Saccharomyces cerevisiae S288C: one gene and its partners. The gene in region 2 interacts genetically with the main gene of each other region. Each region holds a gene or a part of one and is shown on either strand. Other genes may lie near its edges.

What was found.
Region 1: mutations in HOL1 (region 2) and PTC2 together harm fitness more than expected from each alone (negative genetic interaction), as found in Saccharomyces cerevisiae (2 studies listed by BioGRID).
Region 3: mutations in HOL1 (region 2) and SGF29 together harm fitness more than expected from each alone (negative genetic interaction), as found in Saccharomyces cerevisiae (2 studies listed by BioGRID).
Region 4: mutations in HOL1 (region 2) and SPE1 together harm fitness more than expected from each alone (negative genetic interaction), as found in Saccharomyces cerevisiae (3 studies listed by BioGRID, with this or other methods).

What each region holds. Positions count from the first base shown.
Region 1 is NC_001137.3:334,117-341,815, forward strand, and holds PTC2 (type 2C protein phosphatase PTC2), read right to left. Parts: upstream 3,225-7,699; coding exon 1,830-3,224; downstream 1-1,829. Other genes in the region: DOT6 (Dot6p), read right to left, coding at 1-1,072; anthranilate synthase TRP2, read left to right, coding at 3,833-5,356; MET6 (5-methyltetrahydropteroyltriglutamate-homocysteine S-methyltransferase), read right to left, coding at 5,748-7,699. UniProt on the Saccharomyces cerevisiae protein: Dephosphorylating regulator for many key proteins. Dephosphorylates the cell cycle master regulator CDC28/cyclin-dependent kinase 1; its activity appears redundant with phosphatase PTC3.
Region 2 is NC_001146.8:725,920-734,168, reverse strand, and holds HOL1 (Hol1p), read left to right. Parts: upstream 1-3,982; coding exon 3,983-5,743; downstream 5,744-8,249. Other genes in the region: BIO4 (dethiobiotin synthase), read left to right, coding at 100-813; BIO5 (Bio5p), read left to right, coding at 866-2,551. UniProt on the Saccharomyces cerevisiae protein: Seems to be involved in the uptake of several cations and of histidinol.
Region 3 is NC_001135.5:99,064-105,988, forward strand, and holds SGF29 (Sgf29p), read right to left. Parts: upstream 5,288-6,925; coding exon 4,508-5,287; downstream 1-4,507. Other genes in the region: BUD3 (Bud3p), read left to right, coding at 1-2,128; YCL012C (uncharacterized protein), read right to left, coding at 2,254-2,570, 2,638-2,725; GBP2 (single-stranded telomeric DNA-binding/mRNA-binding protein), read right to left, coding at 3,012-4,295; ILV6 (acetolactate synthase regulatory subunit), read right to left, coding at 5,556-6,485; ubiquitin-binding ESCRT-I subunit protein STP22, read right to left, coding at 6,633-6,925. UniProt on the Saccharomyces cerevisiae protein: Chromatin reader component of the transcription coactivator SAGA complex. SAGA acts as a general cofactor required for essentially all RNA polymerase II transcription.
Region 4 is NC_001143.9:93,163-101,044, reverse strand, and holds SPE1 (ornithine decarboxylase SPE1), read right to left. Parts: upstream 4,289-7,882; coding exon 2,888-4,288; downstream 1-2,887. Other genes in the region: tetrafunctional fatty acid synthase subunit FAS1, read right to left, coding at 1-374; LOT5 (Lot5p), read right to left, coding at 1,404-2,324; YKL183C-A (uncharacterized protein), read left to right, coding at 2,438-2,650; DNA-binding transcription repressor ASH1, read right to left, coding at 4,780-6,546; MTR2 (Mtr2p), read left to right, coding at 7,747-7,882. UniProt on the Saccharomyces cerevisiae protein: Catalyzes the first and rate-limiting step of polyamine biosynthesis that converts ornithine into putrescine, which is the precursor for the polyamines, spermidine and spermine.

The DNA of each region.
Region 1 (7,699 bases), on a different chromosome or scaffold from region 2:
AAGCAGTGTTACTGCCGCTATTGTTGACATTGAATATGTTTGACACGGAATTTGGTGCAAGAATCATTGAAGACCGTCTTGAAGTGTTGTTACTTGAAACATTAAACGATGATCTTCTGGACCAATTCGCAAGCGAGCCCCTTCTTGACTTTGAGCTTAGTAAGACATGCGAAGAGTTTGGAGAAGACGGAGTAGTGGTTATTGCTACCTGTTGTGGATAGGCAAACGAACTTCTTCTGGATCTAACGAATACTTTAGGAATGAATCCATACTTCTCCTCATCATTAGACCGAACGATGGGGTCTTGGTTCAAAGAATTGGTGAAGGAGTGAGAGTTTGACCTTGGCTTTAGAGTCTTATGATGGGGATGGTGGTGTAGGTGTTGATGAGGATGATGAGGGAGTGCGGCCGGCAGCGTGGGAGGAGCGAACGGCATGGAAGAAGCAGCGTTTGAGACAATCGTAGTGGGAGTCACATTGGACGGAGATTGAGAAAATGACATCGATGCGTGAAACGAAGGCAACGAGGTCTTTCTGGAGGGAATCGGGATGGATGACGTTGTAGTGAACTCAGCAGTATCTTCCGTTAATACGTTTTCTTCTACCTTCTTGCTGGGCTTTTGCTGAGCGTTGGCAGTCTCATCGCCGTGGGTGATCTTGAGTGGGCCCGTATAGGTGTTGATGTCGATCAAAGCAGTCTTGTTCGACTTCAAGTTACCAGACTTCAACCTTCTCCATCTGAACTGACACGCGTTAGGAGTCCTGTTTGGGAAGTATTGCGAAATATCCTTCCAGCCCATTTTCTTGACCTCCTTTAAATGACGTAGCAGCAGATCATCTTGAGGGTCCCAAGAGGAAGGGTTCTTGCTCGAATTCTTGGAAGACGCAGATGCCGATGCCGAAGTCGACGATGAAGAGGAAGCTGGCAGAGAGGGCGAAGATTCCTGGGCTTCGTTCTTGGACATAGCTGTTGACGACGAGTGTGGCTGACGAGTGAGTGAGTGTAGCTGAGGATGGGTGTCCATGCTGCTCAAATGAATGGAAGCTGAGTTCAAACTGGTTGAAATGGACATCACGGAGCAGAGAAGGGAGGGAAGACTGGAACGTGCACGGAAGCTATTCGATGAGGTCGGATGAACTGACTGTGAAAAGGAGGAAACACGGATAAATATACTACAAAAGAGAGAAAAAATACAACAAGATACCAAACAGGACGAAAGAGAGAAGAAATAGAGAAGATGCAAAGAAAAGAACACTTTTCAAAACCTGTCCCTGTTTTTGTTGTACTCGGTTTTTTTCCTTTTTAAACTGTGTGCACTTTCTGATTCCGTCTTGTCGAGGCTGTCGGAGAAAAGAGTAGCACACACGACGATAACAATAGATACGGTAGATTGGATGGGGCACAGATGTGCAAGGCAATGCGCGAATCCTGTCTACGATGTCTGTACCGTCCATCCTTTCTCCTTTGCATCGGAAACATCCGCGCTGTCTACCTTAGGAGGACCTCATGGGACGGGCGCTGGGGACTCGTGCCCATCCGGGACTGGGGGTGAGATTTCACAACGGGGCCGCTGCTGGTCTCACCCTCTGGCCGGGCCGGTCCGTTTTTGTGGCGTCGCTGCAGGTAAACGCGCAGTTTCTGCGCGTTTACCCCTGAGGTGAATACCATCTTCAAGCGTCAAACTGCATCCGGATATCCTGCTGTTGGTAGCGATGGTGGTGGTAGTGGTGTATGCTCTTGGTTCTGGTGGTGTCTTGCGTCTTCTCTTCTCTTTCTGTTCGTTCGGTTCGTATATAGGTATGTATATATAATGAAGGATGGAAGATCCTTCATTGCAAGTGGGAACGGCCGGCCTTGTGGTCAGTGTTACTGTCATTCTCGGGATGGGAGGAAGCCGGGTCATGGCCCATGGTTTGGAGCAGTTGGGCCAAGGCAGACTGGGGAAGAGTGTAGGTGACTTTGTTCCCGTTGCTGTCTGTCTTCACTCCTCCTGTAGCACCAAGTAGCGCCTCCAAGGATGCTAGATCAATGGGGCCGGAGGTCTTGCTCTTGGATTGGCTGGAAGGGTCAAGATTTTCTGCATCTGTGTCAGCGTCCGTGTCGTCTATGTCCATTGGATCGTCGTTATCGGCGGCAGTCACCGAGGCCACAGCGGCTTCGTGGTCGCGAGTGAATTTGTCCTGAGGTTTCTTCGTAGTGATAGCGAACACCTGTTCGTCGTTACATTTGGAAAAATCGTAGTAACTAAACACCCTTCTTCTCTTGTCTGCAAAAGAACGCACTGATGTGCGGTGGGCCTTGGACTTCATACGGTCGCTCCATTGAGCGACGTCTTCACCTTCTTTCAGCAGCGCGACAACCACTATACTCATGTTGTCGCATCCAATACCCGTCCCCTCTGTGGTGGGAGCACAACAGACATCGATGATCCGCGAAGAAATTTCATTCAATGTCTTGCCTTCGCGAAGGCCGAGATGAACCAAGTCCACACAATCTTGGGAAGTCAAACAATCCCAGATACCATCACAGGCTAAGATTACAAACTCGTCCCTATCGTAATCTAGAGAATGCTCGAGAATGTCCGGAACACATGTCACTATTTGCTCCTCGGGGCCCAATTTGGGGTTGGATTTGAACTCAAAATCACCAATGGCACGAGAGAGCGCCAAGTTACCGTTGACCCTATCCATTTCTACGAAGCCATCAGCTGCCACAATACGTGATTTTTCGCTTGCTAGAGTGGGCTTGTGATCGTATGATAATGCCTTTGCGTTCCCGTCGGTGGCGAGTACGGTTCTACTGTCACCAGCGTTACCACATACTAACAAGTTCTGGGACTTTGATACTAATATGGATGTAGCCGTACATCCGCTATGGTCTTCTTTCATCACAGGATCTTGTAACAGTTTCACGTCTGTGTTTATGAAAGTATCAATCAAAGCCCTTGGTAAATTTCCTTCATGGAACGATTTCTGCTCTTGCAGGATCTCCACTATTTTATTACCACAGTATTCTGCTACTTTAGCGCCACCATGACCATCGAATATACCGTAAAATGCAATATGGTCCTTATCGGACTTTGTCAAAACATTAGGCTCTAGAATGTGTGAATCCTCCATTGACATCCGCCACCCTTGCATTGCACACAGTCCAAACGCGGTCAAGGAGTCAGCACCGGAGTGGCTCTCTTTATCAATTACCGGGTTTGATAGAATTTGTCCCATTTTTCTTTTTCTGGTTCTCTATATTTTATACAACAATGGAATAGTCAAAATCCTAGGGATGTTATTAATCGGAAAACTACTATCTCGAACGAATAGTTATAATTAATCAATGAAAAAAAAAAAGAGAAAGTAAAAAATGTTACAACAACTAATATACACTAATTGTCCTTGATAACAGAACTTGTTGTAGTTTTATTCCGTGGGGAGGAGGGTGAATTTTTTTTATTTAGTTTTAAAGAACAAAACAGAAGTCTATATACTTAGCACTATAATATCCAGTTTCAATTTGCTCTGTCAGAATCCGAATTGGCTGGTTTTCTTTGTTTTACCATCCCCTTCCATTTATCAGCATGATATTTTTTTTTTTAGAATAATCCTTTCAATCGTTGAAGTAGTTTGTGGGAAAAAAAAAGTTGTTAAAGGCATTAACGTACACAGTGATTTGCTGACTCATTACGATTTTTCACTCATCGAAGTATTGTTAGATTTTGATATATTAACATGACTAAAGGGCTATGGTCCATCGTAGCAGAAGGCAATCATCACTTTAAAACCGAGGCCACAATCGATAATTAGCACTGATATTCTGATTGGAAAAAAGGCAAAAAATGACCGCTTCCATCAAAATTCAACCGGATATTGACTCTCTAAAGCAATTACAGCAGCAAAATGACGATAGTTCCATAAATATGTATCCCGTGTATGCGTATTTGCCATCATTGGATCTGACTCCTCACGTGGCATATCTAAAATTGGCACAATTGAACAACCCTGATAGAAAGGAATCATTTCTGTTGGAAAGTGCTAAGACAAATAATGAATTAGATCGTTATTCATTCATAGGTATCTCGCCACGCAAGACCATCAAAACCGGTCCTACTGAAGGCATTGAAACAGATCCTTTGGAAATTTTGGAAAAGGAGATGTCTACCTTTAAAGTAGCCGAAAATGTTCCTGGTTTACCGAAATTAAGTGGTGGTGCTATTGGTTATATTTCTTATGACTGTGTTCGTTATTTCGAGCCAAAAACAAGAAGGCCTTTGAAAGATGTCCTAAGACTTCCAGAGGCATATTTAATGCTTTGTGATACCATTATTGCCTTTGATAATGTTTTTCAGAGATTTCAAATCATTCATAACATTAATACCAATGAAACTTCGTTGGAGGAAGGTTACCAAGCTGCAGCACAAATAATCACTGATATCGTATCAAAGCTAACCGACGATTCCTCGCCAATACCATATCCAGAACAACCTCCTATTAAATTGAATCAAACTTTTGAATCGAATGTGGGCAAGGAAGGTTACGAAAATCACGTCTCCACTTTGAAGAAGCATATTAAGAAAGGTGATATTATTCAAGGTGTGCCATCGCAAAGAGTGGCAAGGCCAACTTCGTTACATCCTTTCAATATTTACAGACATTTACGTACAGTGAACCCATCTCCTTACCTGTTTTATATTGATTGTTTGGATTTCCAAATCATTGGTGCATCTCCAGAATTGTTGTGCAAATCGGATTCCAAAAATAGAGTCATTACCCATCCAATTGCTGGTACTGTCAAACGTGGGGCTACTACTGAAGAGGATGATGCTTTAGCGGACCAATTACGTGGCTCGTTAAAAGACCGTGCAGAACATGTTATGCTGGTAGATTTAGCAAGAAACGATATTAACAGAATTTGTGACCCATTAACAACAAGTGTCGATAAACTGTTAACTATTCAAAAATTTTCTCATGTCCAACATCTGGTTTCTCAAGTCAGCGGTGTTCTCCGCCCAGAAAAGACAAGATTTGATGCATTCAGATCGATTTTCCCTGCAGGTACTGTCAGTGGTGCTCCAAAGGTTAGAGCCATGGAATTGATTGCCGAACTAGAAGGAGAAAGGCGTGGGGTTTATGCAGGCGCCGTAGGTCATTGGTCATACGACGGTAAAACAATGGACAATTGTATCGCTTTAAGGACTATGGTCTATAAAGATGGCATTGCTTACTTGCAAGCTGGCGGTGGTATTGTTTACGATTCAGATGAGTACGATGAATATGTCGAAACCATGAATAAAATGATGGCCAATCACAGTACTATTGTGCAAGCAGAAGAATTGTGGGCCGATATCGTAGGATCAGCTTAAAAAGGGCATTCTCTGTTTTTTTCCCCTTAGACGACATTTTTATAGTTTTCGAATAATATGATATAATGATGTATAGCAGGATCCTGAAAAGTATTATTCTTTCGACATATACATTTGGTCCGACTTACAACCAAAAAATTTTTGTTCAAAAAATATAGGAAATTTTAGAAAACGAATGTTGAATGCGTTATAAATAATACAGAATGTACGTGTATATAAAAATATAATAAAAAAAATGCAAGAGTTATGGCTTTGTAATAAAATTGATATCAAAAAATTACCCAAATAAACTTTTAAATGTGAACACAAAAATTAAATCACCGATGTTGAATCCCAGAATAAAAAACAAAAAGTTCAGAAAATATCATTACTTTGCTTCCTTTTTAAAACCTTAATTCTTGTATTGTTCACGGAAGTACTTGGCGGCTTCGACCATATGAGTCAAAGACAATCTAGTTTCTTCCCAGCCTCTAGTCTTCAAACCACAATCTGGGTTAACCCAGAACTTTTCAGCTGGGTAGCTCTTCAAGATGGTTGAAATCTTGGCGATAAATTCATCCTTTGATGGAATTCTTGGAGAATGAATATCGAATAAACCTAGACCAATGTGGTTTGGATAGTTTTTGAATTCAGCAATGTAGTTAGCATCGTCCTTCTTAGAGAATTCGATGGAAACAACATCAGCATCCAAAGCCTTGATATGGTTTGGATCCAAGTCAGAGTAACAGAAATGAGAGTGTATTTGAGTCTTGTTAGCAACACCAGAAGTAGCAACTCTGAAAGCTTCGGCAGCCCAGGTGTAGTAAGCAGATCTCTCAGTACCTTCTCTCAATGGTAAACCTTCTCTTAAAGCTGGTTCATCAACTTGGATAACCTTGATACCGGCAGCTTCCAAATCATTGACTTCATCTCTCAAAGCCAAAGCTAATTGCATAGCTTGAGTTTTTTGGTCGACATCGTCTCTTGGGAAAGACCATCTCAAACAGGTAATTGGACCAGTCAACATACCCTTTACTGGCTTAGAAGTGATGGATTGAGCGTAAACAGATTCCTTGACGGACATAGCCTTTGGTCTGGACAAGTCACCAACAATAATTGGTGGTCTGACATATCTGGAACCGTAAGATTGAACCCAACCGTTAACAGTGAAAGCATAACCGTTGATTTGTTCACCGAAGTATTGAACCATATCGTTTCTTTCTGGTTCACCGTGGACTAAGACATCCAAACCAATTTCTTCTTGGAATCTGATGACCTTTTCAATTTCAGAATTGATGAATTTTTCATATTCTTCAGCAGAGATGGTGCCCTTGTTGAATTTGTTTCTGTTAATTCTGATGTCCTTGGTTTGAGGGAAGGAACCAATAGTTGTTGTTGGGAACAATGGCAAGTTGAAGACTTTTTGTTGTTCAGGCAATCTTTGTTCAAATGGAGCTGCTCTAGTAGACATTTTTTCGTCGATAGAGGCAACTCTGGCCTTAACGGCAGCATCGTGGATAAACTTGGATTTACCTCTGGATTCAACAGATTTAGCGTTAGCTTCTAGGGCAGCAGCAACGTCTTGACCGGAAACGTTCTTGGTGATCACAACAACTTCATCCAATTTTTGAGTGGCGAAAGAGAAAAAGCCCTTGATTTCAGCGTCCAACTTGGTTTCGTTGTTCAAATCAACTGGTGTGTGCAATAGAGAAGAAGAAGTGGCAACAACGACTCTGTCAGCACCCAACTTTTCAATAGCCTTGTTAACGATAGCGGAAGACTTCTTGAAATCATTCTTCCAAATGTTTCTACCATCAACAATACCAACGGACAAGGTTTGTTTGTTACCAATGGCGGCAACGACTTCATCAAATTGTTCTGGAGCTCTAACAAAGTCAACGTGTAAGGCAGCAACTGGCAAGCCCTTGATGGCGTCTAAGTTAGGGACAACGGTACCGAAGTAAGTAGCCAAAGTAATCTTTGGTAGATTGCTTTGTTCACCGAAGTAAGTGTAAGCCTTCTTAATGGCGGCTTGGGCGTTGGCAGGCAAGTCCAAAACTAAGACAGGTTCGTCAATTTGAACTTCAGTGGCACCAGCAGAAGCCAATTTAGATAGGATTTCAGTGTATAGAGGCAACAATTGTTCCAATAGGGACAATGGTTCCAAATCTAGAGAATCCTTGTCAGCCTTACCCAAGAATAAGTAAGAAACTGGACCCAACAAGACAGGTCTAGTATGAATACCTAACTCCTTGGCTTCCAAAAATTCGTCAACTGGCTTTTGGCCGTTCAACTTAAATTGAGTGGTCTTGGAGAAAGTTGGTCTAACGTAATGGTAGTTAGAGTCGAACCATTTAACCATTT
Region 2 (8,249 bases):
TCCCGCTGGTAGTTCGTTTACTGAAGTATATAAAGAGATATACTTTTTTCCACAAGTAGGCCAGTGAAAAGAACTCAAAAAATCACTAGCGCACAGGTCATGAACAGCAAATCTCAACAACAAGAACAACAACCAATTGTATTCGTCACCGGTACAGACACTGATGTTGGTAAAACCTTTGTATCAACATTATTGGTACACAAATGGAAAGCTGCATACTGGAAACCCGTACAAACTGGAATTGAGTCAGATCAAGGTGACTCCGAGACATTGAAAAATTTCAAAATAGCCGCATCAACTTGGCAACCACCTATATTCACGCCCACTTATGCGCTGCAGAAGCCTCTATCTCCGCTCCAGGCCATGGAGTACGAACCTAATGTCGACATCAGGTTGTTGGATTTCGTAGTTCCTGAAGAGTGGAGCGCAGAGAATCCATTGGTCGTAGAAGGAGCCGGCGGGGTTTGCGTTCCTATCACTCGTAAATTGGAAATTACGACGGATCTAATTAAACATCTGATTGAGACTAGCGGCCATCCAGTGTACGTAGTTGTCGTGGCACGCAGCGGGCTAGGGACTCTGAATCATACATTGCTGACTTGGAATCATCTTTGCGATAATGGCTTGAGAAGCCACCTTTTTGGGGTCATTCTCAATGGGGAACCGAATGAAGGCAACGTGCAGGCCCTGAAGAAGTTCGGTGTCAATATTATGGCACAGGTTGCACAATGTACTACGGCACATGATCAGGATATGGAGTTGCATGAACTGCCATCGGTGGAGTCATTAATGACCCAACAAGACGTAGAATAGTTTAAATAAAAAAGTTGCAAGGCTTTCATCAGCTATATATAAGTAGCATGGTATGAACAGAGTAGGGGCAGTGTTCCTATTTGTATATGAAAGAAATTTTTTTTTGTCTATTGTTCCAGATCGTCACAGGACGGAAATAAGAATGTCTAGTTCAGAAAGGTCAGAAGTCAAGTTTGACAAGCACTTTAATTGGTGGTCCCTATTAGGTATCGCGTTCTCATTAAGTTGCTCATGGGTCGGTATCTCAGCGTCGATGGCCGTTGGTATTGCCAGTGGAGGGCCACTGCTTATCATCTATGGGTTGATAATTGCTGCTTTTTTCAGTCTCATGTGTGGTATATCTCTGGGAGATTTTGCTGCTATCCTGCCAAACAGCAGCGGTGGTTCATTTTGGGTTCTTAAAATGTTGGAACAAGAATCAGTCACTTTGAAAACCCCTGAGTACGAGGACCCTTCTGACGATGATGAAGAAGTGTTCCTCGAGAATTATTGTCAAACTTTCAACGTGGAAGTTTCTTCTAAATTTCAAAAGGTTTCTTCCATGGTTGTAGGGTTGCTGAACTATTTCGGTGCCATTTTTACTACCGCAAGTATCTGCTCATCTTTGTCAATGAGCTGTATCGGTATTCATAAGTTGTTGCATCCGGACTACGAGTTAAAGCACTGGCATGTTTTTGTGGGTTACGAGTGTATCAATGCCGTTTTGACACTTTTCAACATTTATTCAACTCCGTTGCCCTATATCTCTCAGTTTGGGCTCTATACGTCTCTATTGTCTTTCGCCATGACTTTCATTATTTGTATTGTTTCAAGATCTGACAACACCGTAGACCCATGGCCCAAAGCTTCTAATATATTTGGGAGCTTTGATAATCAAACAGGCTGGAATTCGTCTGGAATGGCGTTTGTTGTCGGTTTGGTCAATCCGATCTGGGCATTTGTTGGCATTGACTCTGCTACGCACATGATTGATGAAGTGGGTTATAGTAAGTCACGTTTCTTAGTTCCCAAAGTTATTATCACTACCATCATTGTGGGCTTTGTAACTAGTTTTATTTATTGCGTTGGTTTGTTTTTCTGCATCACTGACCAAACGGCAGTCGTTGAGTCTATTTTACCTATCGTAGAAATATTTTACCAGGCCACTGGTAATAGGAATCTCAGTGTCTTCCTGCAATGTATGTGTATCACAACAGGTTTTGTTTCAGGCATTGCAAGTGGAACCTGGCAAAGTCGAATCCTCCAATCATTCGGGAAAAGTTACGCACCATTTTATAAAGAGGGTTCCTTGGGAAACAAATCCTTGAAGAAGCTAGCAGTGTTGACACCTGGGTTTAAGTCTCCATTATATGCCCATTTTTTGTCACAAATATGTGTAACGATAATTGGCTGTATATTTATGGGATCTAGTACCGCTTTCAACGCAATTATCACTGCATGCATCACCCTGTTACTAATGTCGTACGCAGTTCCTTCTTTTATATTCCTGTTCGTTATTAAAAAGGAAAAATTCATTCATAGAATCGAGAGTGACGTAAATTGTGTCAGCAGGCCTAACCGTCGTCGTATGTCTATGATTCCTCATATTATATGTATTCTATGGACCTTGTTCTGCCTGGTATTTTTATCTTTCCCATATACACTACCGGTTACTGCAGGAAACATGAATTACACCTCAGTAGTGTATGCAGTAGTTTTCTGCATTATCAGCATCGTTGTTTTCCCTACATGCATCTAAGATGCTGTTGAAAGAAAAACAGTCCTTATAAATTCCTAGGTCGATACTACCTTTTGTAGCTCTATCGTCAGAACTTCTGCCCTCCTGTATCATAGTTTCATAAAATAATTGTATATTTATTACCAGAAGTACCCTTGTATTACAAAACTAATCGCACACCACAAAGAGTAAAAGTAGGTACCATAGCAGCAGCGCTTAACCTATTCTCCGTCAGTATGAATGAAATATGTGGATTTCGATTACGATTCATTATAAGATCAGAACACATAAAGCCATTTTACTGAGCTATCTCAACTGCACAAACCATAACAAGTAAAAACTAGCTAGTGTAATTAGGAGATTATCGAAAGTCCTGGTCAAGCAGCAAGTTGGGCGAAAGTGTATTTTTGGTCCTTAAATAGTCCCGATTATGGGAAAATTACAAGTCATGACAAAATTTATTTTATAGGTGCACAAAATAGTCTGTAGATATTTTAATATCAAAAGAAAAAAGACGTATTCGCATGATAGTATATACCAAAGAAGAACGATTCAGAGAATGAATGTGGACAAGTTTTTTTGAGGAAAATGAAAACTAGAAAATCAAGGATATTGAGTACTTAGTCATTTTTTTCATTTTTTTCTTCGAGAAAATTTCTTTTTCATTACTTACTTATTTTTGCCAAGACATTTTTTTATCTTTTAAAATATATTCAAATAGTTCTTCTCTGAACAGAATTTTTCTCTCTTATGATGTACAATTACTTTCTTAAGTCACATATAATACCACACAATGCAAAAATTTCATGCATCAGCTCTCTAAGCTTTGAGAAATGTGTAGTTTGACGTTTACATCAAGGCCTGGTTGTGTCATATGAAATTCTACGGATATTTTTAGGGAGCTTTCGCCTAGCGAGAACAAAAGCATAACAAAAAAAGTTGCAGTTGATGAAAATTTTCTTTTTAGGATAAAGTTATTTTCCAGACAGAAAATTAAACTAAAGACCTCGCCGTTAACAAACCATAGTAGTTTAGACTATTTCCTAACCTTTCTATAGATTCATTTAATTGTCTATTGTCTTCAATCTAAACGATAAAGATAAATACGCAGTCGAATAAGAAAGAATTATCTGTATCAGTCTCTGAGGTAATATTTACTGAACCTCCTCTGCAAAAATAAAACAAGCCCATTTTGTTGTCGAAAGCGCTAGCATCCTTAATTTTACGATACTATTTCATGCTATTACTACCAAGTTGACATCCCTTATTATCTTATTTATTTGAAACTAGAAGAATAGCAAGTAAACACTAAATCCGAAAGAATCGAAGTATCATATTACAATCTACAGGATATAACAAAACAGCTTCGCAACTTTTGCATTTCTAACGAATATAAAGAAAAGAACTACTATAGAAGAAAGTTTGCGAGTGTGAATCTTAAATTTTTAACAGATGGACAAATATACCAACAGGGATCATCCGGACTATATTCCTGGCACATTTAACATCTATTCTTCCCAAAATTTGGAAAATGGTATTATATACGAATCAAAATTGAAGAAAACCTCCTCAGGAGTCGTCCTAATCCCTCAACCATCATACTCGCCAAATGATCCACTGAACTGGTCTAGCTGGAGGAAATTGGCTCATTTTGGTCTAATGGCCTTTATAACTGCGTTTACCGCCGCTACTAGTAACGACGCTGGTGCTGCTCAAGACTCATTGAATGAGATTTATGGGATATCCTACGATTCCATGAACACAGGGGCTGGTGTTCTTTTCCTAGGTATTGGTTGGTCCACTTTATTCTTGGCTCCATTTGCTAACTTGTATGGCAGGAAGATTACGTACATAGTTTGCACCACATTAGGTCTCTTTGGTGCGCTTTGGTTTGCTTTGGCCAAAAGAACGAGCGACACAATATGGTCTCAGTTGTTTGTAGGTATTAGTGAGTCCTGTGCTGAAGCCCAGGTGCAACTGTCCCTGAGCGACATTTTTTTCCAGCACCAATTGGGCTCCGTATTGACCGTGTATATCATGTGCACTAGTATCGGTACGTTCTTGGGCCCATTGATCGCTGGGTACATATCTGCATTTACCAACTTCCGTTGGGTCGGTTGGGTCGCAGTGATCATATCTGGTGGCCTTTTAATAACTATTATATTTGGCTGCGAAGAAACGTACTTCGACAGAGGCCAGTATATGACCCCTTTGACCAGCTGTCAATCGGGATACGAAGACGGTACCACTTTACAAAACTCTGACAATACGGCCGTGTCGCGCAGGAAACGTCATCTTGACGCTAAATTATCAACTCCTGGAGCCATGGGTGAGAAAGGTGTAGACCTTTCAGAGACGGCTGAATTCGAAGTTAACAATGAAGAGGAAGTTACCATACCTGAGACTCGCGAATTGATTGATGGTTCAAAAGAGCATTTGAAACCATACCCAAAAAGAGTAGCAATATTAACCAAAGCTACTAATTTGAAAGGCTACGGTTTTAAACAGTATTTCAAATATCTAAAGATCAACCTTAGAATGTTCTTATTCCCGCCAGTGTGGTTGTCTGGTATGTTTTGGGGTATTCAAGACGTTTTCCTGACGTTTTATTTGACCACTCAAGAAAGCGCCTACTACGAACCTCCATGGAACTATAGTGATTTTGGTGTCGCAATTATGAATGTTCCCACACTTATTGGAGCAGTCATCGGTTGTATCTGTGCTGGCATTGTTAGTGACTACTTTGTTCTTTGGATGGCTCGTCACAATAGAGGAATTTTAGAGGCAGAATTTAGACTATACTTCTCTATCGCAACTGCAATTATTGGGCCAGCGGGTTTGCTGATGTTTGGTATCGGTACCGCTAGACAATGGCCTTGGCAAGCTATATACGTCGGGTTGGGTTTTGTTGGGTTTGCATGGGGTTGTTCTGGTGATATTGCGATGGCGTATTTAATGGATTGTTACCCCGATATGGTTTTGGAAGGTATGGTTTGTACTGCTATTATTAACAACACGATATCTTGCATTTTCACCTTTACCTGTTCTGATTGGCTAGCTGCATCTGGTACTGAAAATACTTACATTGCTTTAGCTGTCATCAACTTTGGGATTACTGCATTTGCTTTACCAATGTACTACTATGGTAAGAGGATAAGACTTTGGACTAAGAGATGGTATTTGCAATCTGTCAATTTGAGAGACGGTGTGTAATTCAGAGACGTCTTTCTTGTATCTAGTAGATGATAGGAATTAAGTATTTTTTTTTTACCTAACTAGGATTATAATTGCAACAACAAAAGCGCCCTTCGTGAAACACGTGGGATACCGGTTAGGTAATATTACAGTTTCCTTACACACTTACTAAATACGCAACAGAGCATGTTATTAATCGTATATTTAAGTAATAATAACGTATTGACCATTCCTAAGACTGAAGCAGTACCAAGAAATGGCACTTTTTGTTTATATGACATAGTAAAAGTGTTCATTTGGCAGAAAACAAGGGTATCTGGATACTGCAATCCTCATTAGTTGCGGAGAGCTTTTTTAAAGTTTTATTACTTCGATAATGCTTTCCTCCAGAACTGGGCGCGCACTGAAGCCATAAACTGAGTGGTTGTCCCTGTGTATATTCTACAATCGCCTATTTGAAACTTCTGGGTGATAATATCGATTTAGCGATTGGGTTTCTCCCTTCTGAGATTCTGGATAAATGAGATGCTACCCTCACAGTAAAAACAGTACAAAACCTTTGTATAGTTCTAGTCAAATATGAACTCCTTCATTCATGGATTGTATACTATTGTTCTTGTTGAAAGATTCCTCTTGTGATTTTCATGGTGATTTTAAGCCTTTTTTATTGAAAGAATTAAATATTCACTAGGCTGCGATACGATAGACAAACGAAGTGATTGAAACCCGAATTAACGGATATGGCGATTATGTGTGTTTATGATCCCAATATTTGATTGTCGGAAAAAATTAATCATCTATTGGTGTGTACTCATACTACTTGTATCATATACAGTGTAAAATGACGACATAATTGATGGGAAACAGTTATCAAAGTTATTGGATGTTGAATTGCAAGAATTGATGAAGTAATAGGATAAGGAATGACAACGTATAAAATTGAAGGAGAAATAAAAATATATATTATATAGAAGTATCGGGCCCCTTTCGTAGATTCCTATATCCTACAGGATAACTTTTGGTACATTCTGTAGACCTAAGTTCATAGCTTTTATAAACAATTAATCCCAAAAAATGTCTCTTTTGATGATTAGATGTTAAAAGGTGATATTACTGACTACTTGTTCGAAGTGCCTACGCAACACTTTAGCTGCTTTTTTTAAGCAGCGGCAGATGAGGATTTAAATAACGCATAACCAAGAATATACCTAATGAAGTGAAGGTATACAGGCTGTTCTATGGACTTGAATAATACTGGCTACCCTGGCGTCCTAATGTCGTTAAGAAAGTAACTTGATATCAGATTAATCACAAACTTGGTCCACAAAATACCACTTATCTCATATAATCTAAATCTGACTAAAGGGTGTAGGCACGGAACTTCGGACCTAGAGGTATTGCTCAATATGTATATTTCTCAATGGTTCATCTAGGTAAGCAAGGCCTTGAATAATATACTTAATCTTGTCTGTTTCGCAACAATTGCTGAGTACAATAATGTTGGAATAAAAATCAACTATCATCTACTAACTAGTATTTACGTTACTAGTATATTATCATATACGGTGTTAGAAGATGACGCAAATGATGAGAAATAGTCATCTAAATTAGTGGAAGCTGAAACGCAAGGATTGATAATGTAATAGGATCAATGAATATTAACATATAAAATGATGATAATAATATTTATAGAATTGTGTAGAATTGCAGATTCCCTTTTATGGATTCCTAAATCCTCGAGGAGAACTTCTAGTATATCTACATACCTAATATTATAGCCTTAATCACAATGGAATCCCAACAATTATCTCAAAACTCACCCACTCTTCAAATAATGATGTGGTATACTACCTGAAATACGATAAAAAGTGTTGTATTACGGGCTCGAGTAATACCGGAGTGTCTTGACAATCCTAATATAAACAGTCTTAGGGAAGTAACCAGTTGTCAAAACAGTTTATCAGATTAATTCACGGAATGTTACTTATCTTATATATTATATAAAATATGAATCATGCTAAGTGGTGGAAGCGCGGAATCTCGGATCTAAACTAATTGTTCAGGCATTTATACTTTTGGGTAGTTCAGCTAGGGAAGGACGGGTTTTGTCTCATGTTGTTCGTTTTGTTATAAGGTTGTTTCATATGTGTTTTATGAACGTTTAGGATCTCAAAATGTCATACTGACGTATCTCATTTTGAGATACAACAAAAAGTATAAATCTTTGGAGGGTTGGCCGAGTGGTCTAAGGCGGCAGACTTAAGATCTGTTGGACGGTTGTCCGCGCGAGTTCGAACCTCGCATCCTTCAGTATTTTTTTTTATTTTGTCGGGGCCACCAGATCTTTAATGGCAAGACAAAGCGTTTTCAGATACATGAAATACATTGAAGCTATCTTTTTGAAGAAGAATACCTGCGTAGTGTTCTATGATTGTTCAAATAATATTTTAAAATGGTATTTTACTACTGTGTACATTTTATATGCTTAAATAAAAAAGAAAGTAGAGCACCCAATGTACGTGTG
Region 3 (6,925 bases), on a different chromosome or scaffold from region 2:
AGTTGAATTCAAATCTGATGACTTGATCGGAAAACCACCTGATGTTGGAAATGGCGCACATCCTCAAGAAAATACCAGAATATCTTCAGTAGTAAGGGATACAAAATATGTCTCCTACAATCCCTCTCAGCCTGTGACAGAAAATACCAGTAACGAAAAAAATGTCGAACCAAAAGCGGATCAATCCACAAAGCAGGATAACATTTCCAATTTTGCAGATGTAGAGGTATCTGCGTCTTCTTATCCTGAAAAACTTGATGCAGAAACAGATGATCAAATAATTGGGAAGGCGACGAATTCGTCATCAGTTCATGGAAATAAAGAGCTGCCAGACCTTGCTGAGGTGACTACAGCAAATAGGGTTTCTACAACATCGGCTGGGGACCAACGTATTGATACCCAAAGCGAATTTTTACGTGCAGCTGATGTTGAAAACTTAAGTGATGACGATGAACACAGACAGAATGAAAGTAGAGTTTTTAACGATGACCTCTTTGGTGATTTTATTCCTAAGCATTACCGTAATAAACAGGAGAACATTAACAGCTCGAGTAATTTGTTTCCAGAGGGAAAGGTGCCCCAAGAAAAGGGCGTATCAAATGAAAACACTAACATATCTCTCAAAACTAATGAAGATGCATCTACATTGACGCAGAAACTCTCTCCACAAGCGAGTAAAGTGCTGACAGAAAATTCTAATGAATTAAAAGATACCAACAATGAAGGGAAGGACGCAAAGGACATAAAATTAGGAGATGATTACAGTGATAAAGAAACAGCGAAAGAAATAACTAAACCAAAAAATTTTGTTGAAGGAATAACTGAACGGAAAGAAATATTCCCCACTATTCCTAGGTTAGCGCCGCCAGCTTCAAAAATTAACTTTCAAAGGTCACCATCCTATATTGAGCTCTTTCAAGGAATGAGGGTGGTTTTAGATAAGCATGATGCCCATTATAACTGGAAACGCTTGGCTAGTCAAGTCTCCTTAAGTGAGGGACTAAAAGTCAATACTGAGGAAGATGCGGCAATTATAAATAAAAGTCAGGATGATGCCAAGGCGGAAAGAATGACTCAAATTTCTGAAGTGATTGAGTATGAAATGCAGCAACCTATCCCAACTTATTTGCCTAAGGCGCATCTAGATGACTCGGGTATTGAAAAAAGTGATGACAAATTCTTCGAAATTGAAGAAGAACTTAAGGAAGAATTGAAGGGCAGCAAAACCGGTAATGAAGATGTCGGTAATAATAATCCATCCAATTCTATTCCAAAAATCGAGAAGCCCCCAGCATTCAAAGTTATTAGAACATCGCCTGTGAGAATTATCGGAAGGACTTTTGAAGACACTAGAAAATATGAAAATGGCTCTCCATCTGATATTTCGTTCACTTATGATACTCACAACAATGATGAACCTGACAAAAGGCTGATGGAATTAAAATTTCCATCCCAAGATGAAATTCCGGATGACAGATTCTATACTCCAGCAGAGGAACCCACTGCTGAATTTCCGGTGGAAGAACTTCCAAATACTCCGCGAAGTATTAACGTTACAACTTCAAATAACAAGAGCACAGACGATAAGTTGAGTAGCGGTAATATTGATCAAAAACCTACCGAACTGTTAGATGATTTAGAATTCAGTTCATTTAATATAGCATTTGGAAATACCTCCATGAGTACTGACAATATGAAAATATCATCCGACTTAAGTTCGAATAAAACCGTGTTAGGAAATGCTCAGAAAGTTCAAGAGTCTCCTAGTGGACCATTAATCTATGTTTTGCCTCAGAGTAGCACAAAGCATGAGAAAGAGGGGTTCCTTCGAAAGAAACAAAAAGACGAGCCCATTTGGGTTTCCCCTAGCAAAATTGACTTTGCTGATCTAAGTAGGAGAACTAAAGCATTGACGCCAGAGCGTAATACTGTTCCTTTGAAAAACAACGACAGTAGAAAATACAAATATACTGGAGAGGGATCTATCGGTAATATGACAAATATGCTGTTAACTAAAGATGCTTCGTACGCGTACTTAAAAGATTTTGTTGCGTTGAGTGACGATGAAGATGAAGATGGGAAACAGAACTGCGCTGTTGGTGGCCCAGAGAAACTGAAATTTTATTGAGTGTTTTATTGATTTTTTTTTTCTTTTTAATTTAATGCAATGTATACATTTACATAAAATATGGACAAATAAGAAAAAGGGGGAAAAACCTCCCACTTAAGTAAAACTGAATATATTAGATACCTTTACCTACTATCAAAGGTGAATGCTTTTGGATCAATAGGGGTTCCATCGGGGGCAATACCATTTTGGCCGAACTTTCTTTCCATATATAATAGTCTAGCCTTATCGAAATCTACATTATCGTTTTCCATAATTTGTTTAATCTCATTCTTGGAGACATCATCCAAACCACCTCTTACGTCGTTGCTATTCTCCGAGATAATATCGAAATTCCTGGAATGGAGACCGTTTTCTAGGTCATCAGCAAAGGAATCATTTAAACGTATATGTCTATTAAAACGTAATTGTATTCTTGAACGCAGTGCACGAAATTTGTCGGCTATTACAGCTGTTAGTATTTAGATACGGTTTGCACTTTGCATTTTCAAATGCTTAAATATACATACCAACTTTGGTTTTCCGGTGTGCCATAAGAAGGCATAAAGACAATAGCACAACCCAGAGGAGCAATTTGAGATAGAACAAACTCTTCATACTCGTATTTGCAATTTTTGGAAATTAATTGTGTAGCTTTTCTTCTCTTAATTGGTGGCAGTTTTTATATATTCAGTTTAGAATACCCTTTTTTTTTTTTTTTTTTTCTTCGCTTTTCGCATCTCATCGCTGGAAGTGGTGCTCTTTTACAGGGATTAAATAAGGTTATTCTTTTTGGTCAAAATGATAAATATAACTATTAAAGTTATTTATAACCCGCCCGCTTCCTTATTATTTATACGTTATCATAAAGTACACAGGTCATGGTTCGGTTGGTGCTTAGGAATTAATCACGTCTAGCATAAGAGATCTGTAAACTACAACCACCATAATTATAATTATTTAATTTTTGAATACAAAAATCTGCATCTACTAAATTTTCATATTCTACAACAGCAACACCAGTTGGTTGACCATTTTCCTGTGGTTTCAATTCCGCGTTATTGATTTTGCCGATAGGCCCAAACAAGTCGAATAAATCGCTTCTTGCTGTTGAGAATGGTAAATTACTACAATAAATGAAACAGTTTCTATCCCCTCCTGGATTGACACCTTCAGTAAATTTTGCTGCAGTTTCATCAATGTGGACAGCGGCATCCTGCGCAAGACCTGGTTCAGTACCTCTGGTATCTTCAAGGTCCTCACGCCTTTGATTATAACGATCATTGTTCTTTCTCTTGTTGAAACGCCCTTCTCTAACTTCCAAAACTCTACCTTCTACTTCCATGCCGTTGAATGTATCGATAGCTCTAATCATTTCATCCTCAGTAGGATAAATGACAGAACCGAATCCTCTTGAAAATCCGTTGAAATCCAATTCTACATCGGCACGCAAGACATGACCACATTCTTTAAACATATCTTTTAAGGATTGCCAATTCATAGAGTACGGTAAATTGATGATGAACACTTCAAACCCATTATCTATTTCTTCCCTAGTAGCTTTCTTAGAAAATTCCTTGGCAGCTTCAGGAGGAGGATTATCCTGTCTTACCATTAGTTTCCGGTCCATAAAGAGGGCACCATCAAACTTCGATATGGCATCTTGGACAGATTCGTTTTTGGTAAATTCCACAGTCCCCATACCACGGTGATGGCCCTTTGATGTGATAATGTCAGCCTCCACAACTTCGCCCACTGTACCAAACAATTCCTTAAGGTCTTCAGGGGTACAATCAAAAGTCAAGTTTCTCACGAAGATACTATTTTCAAAATTTCTCTTGGTCGCGTCAAATTGCCTTTCTAAGTCTCTTTCAACAATTGGACCTAAAGTACGACCCCTACCGCCACCGCGTCCCCCTCTGAATGATCTGCTTCCTCCTCTGCCACGGCCTCCTCGGCGAGGGGGCCAGTTCCTATCATCGTGGTAGCGGCTGCCACCATAACTCTGATCGTACCGATCATTGAAACGGGAGCCTCGGTCGCGTCTCTGACGACGACTGCCATTACCATTATTACTGCTACTATCGTTATAATCATCGTACCTGTCTCTGTCGTCGCTCAAACGACGACGTACAGGTGATCTTGATCTACTCCTATCATTTCCATACATCCCTAGCTCTCTCTCCATCTTGGCGAAAAAATCCAGCTGATGTTTGTTTCCTTTTCGCCCATAGCTTATTTCTAATGGGAAATCCTCAATATAATTGATTTCATCCAAGCTTTCATTTTTTTTCAATTTTTTTCACCTTCAAGTGAATACATCACTTCCGACGATACCAAAATAATGACAAAATGCCATGAGAAGATCTTATGATATGTAGTAAATGTTAACCACCATTGCTATTTCCTTGCTAGGTTTGCCAAAGCCGTTGGCGAAGGCAGCACTAGACGGCGAGTCACTTCCGTCTCTTTGTCCACTTCCTCTTCACCATCAAATCGAAGCCTGCAAGTGCCGTCCCTCTTGGTTCCGATGACAATTGCAGGATAAAAAGTGGTCGTTTCAGGATATCTTGCCAGAACCTTAGTACCTGGCGGGTAGTTCTTAGTGGGAAAGCCTGGCGGGATCAACAGTAGTTCTTTCCGATTACATTTATACACCTTGCCTGAGTTGCCCAATTCATCAGGTTCAGGATCTCTCACTTCAAATCGTGTACCATCTGCTACGACTTTGAGTACTTCACACTGTATCCATTCGCCGTCGGCACTGCCCCTTCTGGGCTTATAGGCAACCTCTGAGCCCACCAAAATAGGTGCATTTGGGTTGTATTCGCTGGTCCAGTACGATCTGCCAACTTTCCCCACAGCTTTCTTGCCCTGCGACAATGCCATGCGTGTCCCTTCTCCTTCTTCTGCATCTTCAGTATTTTCCTCACTCTTTTCCTCTCGTGACTGATTCAACATCAACGACAAATTGGAACGTACATTGTCAAGGATTCGGTGCACTCTGTTGACGTTTTCCATGTGTTCTTGGAAAGTGTTGAGATGCAATTGCAGCTGATCCTTTGACATATTAAGGAAATTTAGTTTTTTTGTTTGCAGCTCATCATCAAAGGGAATGACCTCGTTGGCATTGTATATGTCTTGCAAGGACGACACTACAACATCCCAATATCCGTCCATAATAAGAAAGGTGACCGTGTGTTTTGCTGTGAAAAACTCCCCCCACTTAGAGAAGCCACCAAGGTATTGTGTCTTTAACCTTTTTCGTATCTGGCAAAATCGAAGAGGAAAGCAGAAAACCAAAAGAAAAAAATAGTTTAGTAACGCGTCACCTCGTACAAACGTACAATCATAGCAACTTATGAGTAAATAGGCTCATGGTTATAGATACGTTATATAGATGTATAGAGGAGAGTCCCGAGGGCGATCGCAAGGCCGAGAGACTAACCTAACCAGGTGGTAGTTGGGAAATGTCGACGATTTCGCTGATCTTTTCGTCTTCGTCGGCAGCTTCCTCGGTGCTTGTCTTCAAAGGAGTTCTTGGCAATGCCATCATACCGCTTCTTGCACACTCTAGGACACCGAATGGCTCGACCAACTTCAAGAAGGCAGAGATACGTGTGGGTTTTGCAGACAACTCCACAATACAGCTTGTTTCGCTGATGTCGACGACACGACCTCCAAAGTTGTTGGTCAAGTTGGTGATATCGTTCAAATGCTCGTGCTTCAACCTTAATACCTCACTGGCGGGCAAGTTGGCAGGGTGGAATTGCTTTTCTCTGATTTCGGCGACCAATTCTTGGGAGTCAGCGGCGCCAGCATTGGTGGAAGTGTGGTGGTGCAATAGTAGGTCTTCGAAGTATTCAGTACCCAATAGAGAGATTCTGGCCATCACTAGCTCTCTTTTGATGATCTCAGAATTGGTATAGTCTAGGACGGCGTAGACGGGGACCAAGTCTTCGATTTGTCTGCGTGCTTGTTCGACTACGCCATCTTGCCCTTGCAAAACAATGGTCATTCTACTTAGGTCTTTGACCTCGGTGTTGCACACGACCAACGAATCGATGTTAAAGCCTCTGGCAGCTAACGTACCCGAGACTCTGGACAAGACACCGGGTTCGTTTTGCACCAAACAGTTCAAGACATGCTGTTTTCTTGGTTGACGAGAAGGCGCTGGTGTTTCGTAAATGATGGATGAAACGGCACTGTTGGCATTCCAGGAAGGAGTGTCTAGTGTGGGCAAGGGAGGTCTTGTTGCGTGTCTGTGCATCTGCTTGTACGCCAACGCGGAGGTCGACGAGGAACTGCAACGCACCATGGTAGCACATGAAGAAGCAACCACCCTGCGGTGGCCGCTTTGCAATAACGATCTCAGCATTAGAAAGACTGGGTTAGTGAGCTCAGATGTTCTAAAGATTCTGTATATACGAACTATGTACTTCCATATATACCATTCCCCGTTCTTGTTAGGTAAAGGTTAAAAAAATATTTTTTATGGCACTTCGGCGATGCGAAAGAAAGTGAGTCACGATAACGGTGAGGTGATTCGTTGGATGTGCCATCGCACAAGGAATTGCTGGCGTGCTAATTCACGACCTTGCTTGACAAAAGTATCGAGGGGAATGGTGCCACGGTGCAGCATCCTAGATAAGCACTCAATGGTGTCCGTGAGAGCGTAGTCCTGGGCAACGAGGTTGTATAGTTGATTGAGTCCATCTGTTTTGGCCACTGCTATGGAGTTCACGTCCTCGTCATCCACATGCGAAGTTGAGCTAAACTGTTGGACTTTGGCCCTATTTGCGGTCAGGACGTCTATCT
Region 4 (7,882 bases), on a different chromosome or scaffold from region 2:
TTTTTAATTAGTTCTTTAGTCTTCACTAAAGTTGTGTCGTTTTCCTGTAATAGTTTAGCAGCCAAGGCGTGAATGTCATTGCCTTCTAAATAACAGTTTTCAAATTCTGTTAAGCAAAGGTTCAAGACCTGATCGAATTGACCGACCTTGGAAGGTTCGACTAGAGAAGATACGTAGCCAAGGAATTTCCCCACTAGTTCAGCAGGTGTGGTAGGCTCGTCATCTGCAGCAAACCCTTCAGTGGGTTCGGGCAAAATTTTATTAAATTGTTCTTGTAATTGCGAAGCAATGAAAAATGAAGCGGTTGGTACCAGAAGCACGTGCTCTAAAGAACCGTGAGATAGGGTTAATGGTCTTGTGGAGTAAGCGTCCATAATGAGCGAATAATAGAGCAGTTAGGTGTGGCGAATAAATATACTAAAAAGAGCGGAATCCTAGTCTATAATCTGATTTTCCGGATGATGTTCTTGTAGTTTCTTTTCTTTATATATTTTTCAGAAATATTCAAAGAGCATATAAGAATATATTTGACCTTGAATTGTATGGAAAAAAAGAATTAATAAATTGAAAAAGGAAGAAAGAAAATTCGTTTAAAAAAGTTGTTTGTTCTTCTTTGTAATGTAAGTGATAACAAGTATGAAAAGGCCCAATGTACTTTTTTATATTTTTCCCTTGGTTCTTTTTCCTTATCAATCAATACCTTTTTTTTTCTTATATTTTTAGTTTTCCCCTATAACTTTGTTGAAAGCCGTTTATATATATAGATAATGATATATATACCCAGTTTTAGTTGGTCCTGCAGAATAGAAGGAAAAAGGAAAAGTGTTTGGAGAAGATGGTTCAATCGATAAAAAGTATGCCAAAAATGCCAAAATGCCGACTGTAATCTCTGATTATTGTCGCAGTGAATCGTTCAACACTTTTCGGTGATTGGGAAAGGCACACTTACTGTCAGACCAAAAGCGTTAAATAGCAACAACGTATTGTTCGCGATTATTTGTATTTTTCAACAATTTCTTTTAACTTGTGCGACGGAAAGATCGCTGTTGCGTAATTATGCTTGGCTGGGCGGCATGTGAAGTTTTTGGCCGTCGTTTGTTGGAGGCCAGGGGAGTAGTGAACCGTGCCTGCACCTCGTGTATCGTGATGCGGAGCAGACGCTGCTATAACCCGGCCTCCGAGGAGCCGTGGGTGCACGGGCATGGAAGGCTGATGCGGACCTTCTACGGGTTTTTTCACATGCTGCCGTTTGCTGAAACATCTTAACTAAGCCTTCGCGCGGCCATACGGGCCCTCAAGACATTCATTACTTGGTATAGAAAGGTATATACGAAGGCAAATAGCCATATTCGTAGAGGACGAGACCGCATAGTACAGCGGGATGTTCCCATAATAGATGTTGTTCATTCATTGTCTCTGGAGTTCTTTCTGCCAGCAAGATTTTGATTTGCGTAGAACTCCATAGACATACTTGCTTCTGGACCACCCCTAGAGACCACGTTGTCCATAACGAGGTCGCCATCCAGATCGTCTGCCAGCCCGTCGTTCTGATACACGGGCGGCCCGTGAAGGGTGTCTCCAAGCCCAGAATACGTGGCGTTGAGATCTTGCGCACCCTCAAACGCCATGCTTGGATCTTGGTATTGTTCCTGGTCTTGATCTTGTACGTCCTCACCGTGCAGGTCCATGCATACGGCTAGTGCTTCGTTACAATTGTTTACCAGGTCATCGCCCCTGTTCACGCCGAAGTTTTCGAAGGTGAAAAGGGTTTCGATTTCGTTGTTATAATGGCGATCGTATATTGAATATTTGGGCCTGATAGTCAATTCCACGCTGCGCACGGTGAAGGCATGTGCTTCTTCGCCGTCGAATTCGCAGGCCTGTGGCGCGAGGCTTTGGTAGAGCATGTCCAACACTTCGTCTCTTTCCAAAGTCAGCAAAATTTCTAATTGAAGCCCTTCCCTACCATCTGGTAGCCGTCTTGATGCATGGTACAAAACGCTGCTGTAGGGAATTTCCAGCCCATATCCCAAGCCATTGAACCAAATGATAATGCAGCTGTTGAGTATAAACAGGTCTGTGCCATACTCACTGGTGTCTTGTGGGTTGGCTTGATTGGACAAATGAGAGCTCGAACAAGGTGTCAGGGAGCCTAGTATCAGGTCCCGACCTCCGCCAAAGAGTATTATGTATTCTTCATTATTCAGTGCAGAAAAGTTGCCGTTGAATCGCGGCTGCGTCTTCTTGAATTGGTTATATGGTATGACGTTTTCGACCGATGGTTTGGTCCTTGCAATTTGGCACTTTGGTTTTTTTTTCATCATTTTTCTTTTTATTTTATGGTTGATGCTTCTTTTGAAATAAATATTCGTCTATCACTGTAGCTATGGTCTATCTTGGCCTGTGTTGAAGTATGGTGAACAATCCGAAGTAATGGATGTATTCAAAGATCTTGCTATACCGTAGTAACGTTCTGTTCATGAACTTTTTCTCTGTTTTTGTATGTACAATTGGTACTTTATTTTTGGTTTTCGCAGATGTCTATGTTCTTGCGTCGGCATTTTTCCAAAGTAAAAAGGAAAAAGAGACAAAGTTTAAGCATTTACACTACCAAAAAAGATCTTGTTTCTTTCTAGCAAATATACACTAAACATAAAAAAAAATTATAAAAAATTGTAAAAAAAATATAAAAAAATACTTTTGTGTACAATGGCGTACAGTGGTGGACAGGAAAAATGCCAGAATTTTCTTGAATCATCATTCTCTGACTCTTAAATAGCGTGTATAACTCGTTCATGAACACTCAAATTCTTAGTGACAATGGTTGCATTCAGCCTTTTCCCACCCCCTCCGTCTCTCTTGCGAAAGTCGTGGTTAAATATATCCTTCAATCGAGTTCAGAGTCTATGTATACTATATCCGCAGTCTGCTCAAAGCCGTTGAATTGAGTAGCCGCCGATGATGTGTAGGCACCCAGGGCAGGAAAATAAAACCAATCACCGACTATAACATCATGCTTCATGTAATACTCTTTGGCAATACAATCCAAACCATCACATGTGGGTCCCCAGATGGAAACTTTATATGGATACTCAGATCTTGTTTTGTTGATAGAGTCGAGGACCGCAGTAGTGGATTCAAAATCGTCGTAATGAAATTCCAAATTATGATAAAGGGTTCTTGGATGGGGCTCTTGATGATCGAATAAAATACAATTCATGTTCCCGTATACACCATCGTTAGTGTAAATCATTGCTTCATTCTCAGACAGTTTTCTCTTCGCAATCACATGAGATGCCAAAGTGAACGCTGTAGCTACAAAGTATCTGCCAGGCTCTGCAATTATATCAACACCACAACCTACAGGGAAAAATTCCTCTAGCGCTAGACGCAAAACAGCAGTTGATTCTTTGAAGGATTCAAATTGAAATCCACCACCTACATCCAAAATCTTCAAAGGGGGCAACCCGTATTCGTTAGCAGCTTTGTCAAATACCGTTCTTGCATCTCTAACGGCTTTGTATAAGCTTGTAAAATCAGAAGCGCCTGAACCGACGTGGAAAGAAACACCAGCCAGGTTTAAACCTAGTTCCTTTATAGCCTTTAATAAAACGTCTACGTTTTCCATTTCACAGCCATATTTGGTGGAAAGTCGACATTGAGCGGTAGAGTCATCGGTAGCGATTCTTAATAACAACTGAGACTCAGGATGAAACTTTTTGATTTTATGCAATTCTTCTACATTGTCAAAAGTAGACTTCATTACATTTTTTGAAGCTGCATATCTAATGAAAGATGCTACTTTACAAGGATTAGCGTAAACAATTCTATCCGGCGAGATGTTCATCGATAATACTCTGTCAATTTCCACTTTGGAAGCGCAATCGAAATTAACGCCCAACTCTGCTAATAATGACAAAACCTTGGTATCAGGATTACATTTGACGGCATAAAATGGCTTAATTCTAGGAAGCTCCTTCACCCAGTTGTTGAATAATCTCTTGACTTCTCCCAAATCGCATATGAAAAACGAGTTCTCCTCACCGGGGTCGCACGTTTCATTATTAATTCTACCAATACGAGCCTTGAGCGCTTGAAATATTTTAGGATGCGCTTGTTCATGCGGTAAAAGTTCCAAATCTTGGTTATTCTTTAGTTCAAGCAAAAGATTGTGCAGCGTCTCGCCATCTTTATAATATTGCTTCTTTTGGGTAACCGTAGAATTAGACAAGTCCACTAAAGTAGTAGTGGAACTAGATAGAGCATTTCCTACTTGAGTACTAGACATAGTAAGTTTGAAATTCAAAGGTTTTGATTACTATGAAAAAGTTGTAGAACAATCAAAAAATCTTACCTACTTAAACTTGAAACAAAAGCCGTGCTGAAACCTGGATGATAAACCAAGGAACGAAAAGTTCTTCTGTCCTTTCTATTAACTACACTATTATGATTGAATTTTAAGCTTATTAGAAGCAGGTTCCGCTATTTCAGTGCAATAAATGCTTTTCATTTTCGATTTCAGAATAAAAATCAGGATGACCAATCTATTGCGCAGGAGAAGTTATTAGAATGATTTCACTTCGAAATGGGCGAAAATATCTGCACGGCGCAGATTAAAATTAATCGGTGAAGAAAACGAAGATGCCGCGGCGTGTCGAATGAAAATGAAAGAAAATGAATTTTTATTTGTAGTTTATTTAGCACAGACAAGGAGAGAAATGTACAATTGTTTCGTGATAATGTCTCTTATTAGTTGAAAGAGATTCAGTTATCCATGTATCAATTCTCTACTGTCTCAGTTATGTAATTACAAAATAAGCAACGGTACCCTTCAATTTCGCAGTTGCGTTCGGGGACGAATTCTTTGTCTATTCCATTGGATTTCATAATGTTTATTTCACCCTTTGTGGGGATCTTACGACATAAATCGTTCAAACATCTTGTATGTGTTTTTTTATATCGAAGACCACAAGAGTTACATAGCTGATCTTGCTTTCTTGGCGACCACGATGGCCTCCAACAGGGCGAATCACTCGAATGACACGACACGCACACTCTTGTGGTGTGACGAGTGGGTGATGAGCCACTGGACCTTCTACTTCCCTTTTTCGTTATGCTTGAATTTGATGATCTTCGAGGGCTTTGAGGGGGAGAGTCGAGAGCAAATCTATGATAATTGGGTGACCTTGGGCTTGGAGTGTATGCCTTGGGACGCACAGGTGAGGATGATCTTGATCTCATCTTGCCACTTTTCGTCGGTGTGGAGGGAGATGGAGATGAAGATGCAGAGACAGAACTGTAACTAGCGTTGTCGAGTTTCATCACCAATTGTCTTGCAGTGTTACCGAAAACATTTGATGCTTGCTTTGAGATTTTGTTCTTAGATGGTTTCCTTACATTAGATTTGGAATTGTTCGATAGAATGTCTCTATTCGCAAGCAATTTTTTTATTTGCAAAGCTTTGAAACTGTTCGTCTTTTTGTGACTGGCATTTGGCATGGGAAATGAATTTCCACGTAATTGTCTTTGATGTTTAACTTCTTGAACCAATTTTTCACTAATAATTGGATTGAATATTGAATCGTTATTGCTGGATTTCCCCTCAAAAAAAGAGGCCTCTACTCCTCTAAGCGTCGTGCGCTCCATGGTTCTATTGGTTGGTGGACTCATCGGCGGTGTGACGGGAGGAGTAATACTCCATGCATTGTTGGAAAGATCTTTAAATTGATCTTTAGCTTCTAGAATCGAAGGAATTAGTTTGGTACGATCAAATGATTCCTTAGACGGGGAATGGAACTTGGACGACCTAGTCGATTCCAATTCCTTGCCGTAATTGAAACTATCATTATTTTGATTATTAGTTAAGTTGGGTATACTTAATGGCTTGAAATGAGCCACTTCTTCGCGTATTTTAACATAGTCTTGATAGTTTGTATCCTTACACCAATGGGTAAGATCAGTTTTCCAATTAGATGTACGTTTTGATGTATCAGGGAAGCGTGCTGCGTTTTCTTGTAAAAGAGGACTGGGTAATAATTGCAGATGCCTTAGTGATGGTAGGCTTTGTTGTGGGCGCTCCGGTCTCTTAGATAAAGAGACGGACGATAGCCTGTCTAACAATGGTAGTCGAGGTTGTGAATTAGAGGAAAAACCTAAGCCAGACCCATAGTTCAATGGATTTGTAAAACTAATCTGAGATAAGCTTGCCTTGTTGAATTCTGGTGAATTGCCTGGTGTTAATGAGGAAATTGGATTGTAATCCATATGATGTGGCGATGCTGGTGCAGTATTTGATTTTTTTCCAAGTATTTCGTTAGCCAAAGATATTGGGGAAAGAATTGGCGACACATTGAGCGAATGAAACGAATACTTCCTAGGACTTGCTGAATTTATATTGTTATCGGTTGTGATATTGTTCCTGCTGATATTACTGGATAAATTGGAAAATGAAGGCAATAAAAGATTGTCATAATAGGAGCTATTTGCATGAGAATCCGGACCAGCAGATAATGCATGCAGTGGTGTTTTGATGTATAAGCTTGACATTTTTTTGCTTTTCCCGTTATGAGAAATGTTTTTTTTAGACTGAAAATAAAAGAATGGATAGTATTAAAATAGTAATGAACGTAATAAGGATAGGACAGGAGCGATAGGAAAAGATAGAATTTTGGAGCTTTTTTTCCCTCTTTTTTTGAGCAGGAGCCAATAGTAGTCGGAAAGATGAGTGTATAGATTTTTCGTATTTTATTTCGAGTAAAAATATCACGCTCTTAGGTTCAATAAAAGAATATACTATTTCTTCAAAATGCTTCTCTAATCTATTTTTTTATTTTCCTTAATAACTGAAATATTATTTTTTGATGTAAAATGAGTGAACAAGAATAAAGGATTTTTGGTATGTTTGCAAGTTCTGTGGAGTTCCATGTATAAGGTATACATATTAGAAAAGCTTTACGATTATATACTAACATCATGTACAAAACAGTTTAATAATGATCTGTATTGCTGGCTCAATCCACGTAAGGAAAATGATCAGCCCAATCCTCAAAAATAAAATGGCCCTTCCAAAATTAGAGACATATCGTAGAAATCAGACGCACGCTTGGCGTCAATATCCTAAAACGGAAAACTAATCAGTTAGATGTGTCTTTTTTAGGTAAAAAAAGGCAACCAACTTTTTGCTGGCTAGCGATGCGACAATAAACGCGCGCAGCGAATAAAAATAAGATGGCGGAGGAGCAGAGACTTCTTTTCTTAGAAGAGGTTTTGTTACCGTATGGGGGTATGATGGTTAGATGGCTGAATAAAAACGTTAATTAAAGGAATACAGAAGAGGAAGCGCCCCGATTTCTTTTCTGTTCCACATGAAAGCAGCCGGTTGGGTGGTAGATCTCTAATGACATCCAAACTACAAAACCGAGATTGGACATATAGCACACTCTGCATTTCTACTTTCCTTTCTCCCTACAGTTTGCTCGATCTGAACCGATGCTTCTTTGATTGGACAAGATGATAGACCATGACTCCCTGTATGTATTGCAGAGATTGCCACTACTAACCAAGAAAAGTTGAACGTGTCGTACGTATAAAACGATTTATGCTTAGGCTTTACTGAAAAAAAAAAAGTAAAAAGAGGATGCGCAAACGCATAGAGCAAGTAACTAACCTGTTTTTATAGTATATACTTGGCCCCACCAGGCTGATCGTCAGGCAAAACGCCAAACTAATAACAGTAATAACAGAAATATGAACACCAATAGTAATACTATGGTAATGAATGACGCAAATCAAGCACAAATAACGGCCACATTTACGAAGAAGATATTAGCGCATTTGGATGATCCGGACTCCAACAAATTGGCCCAATTCGTACAGCTTTTTA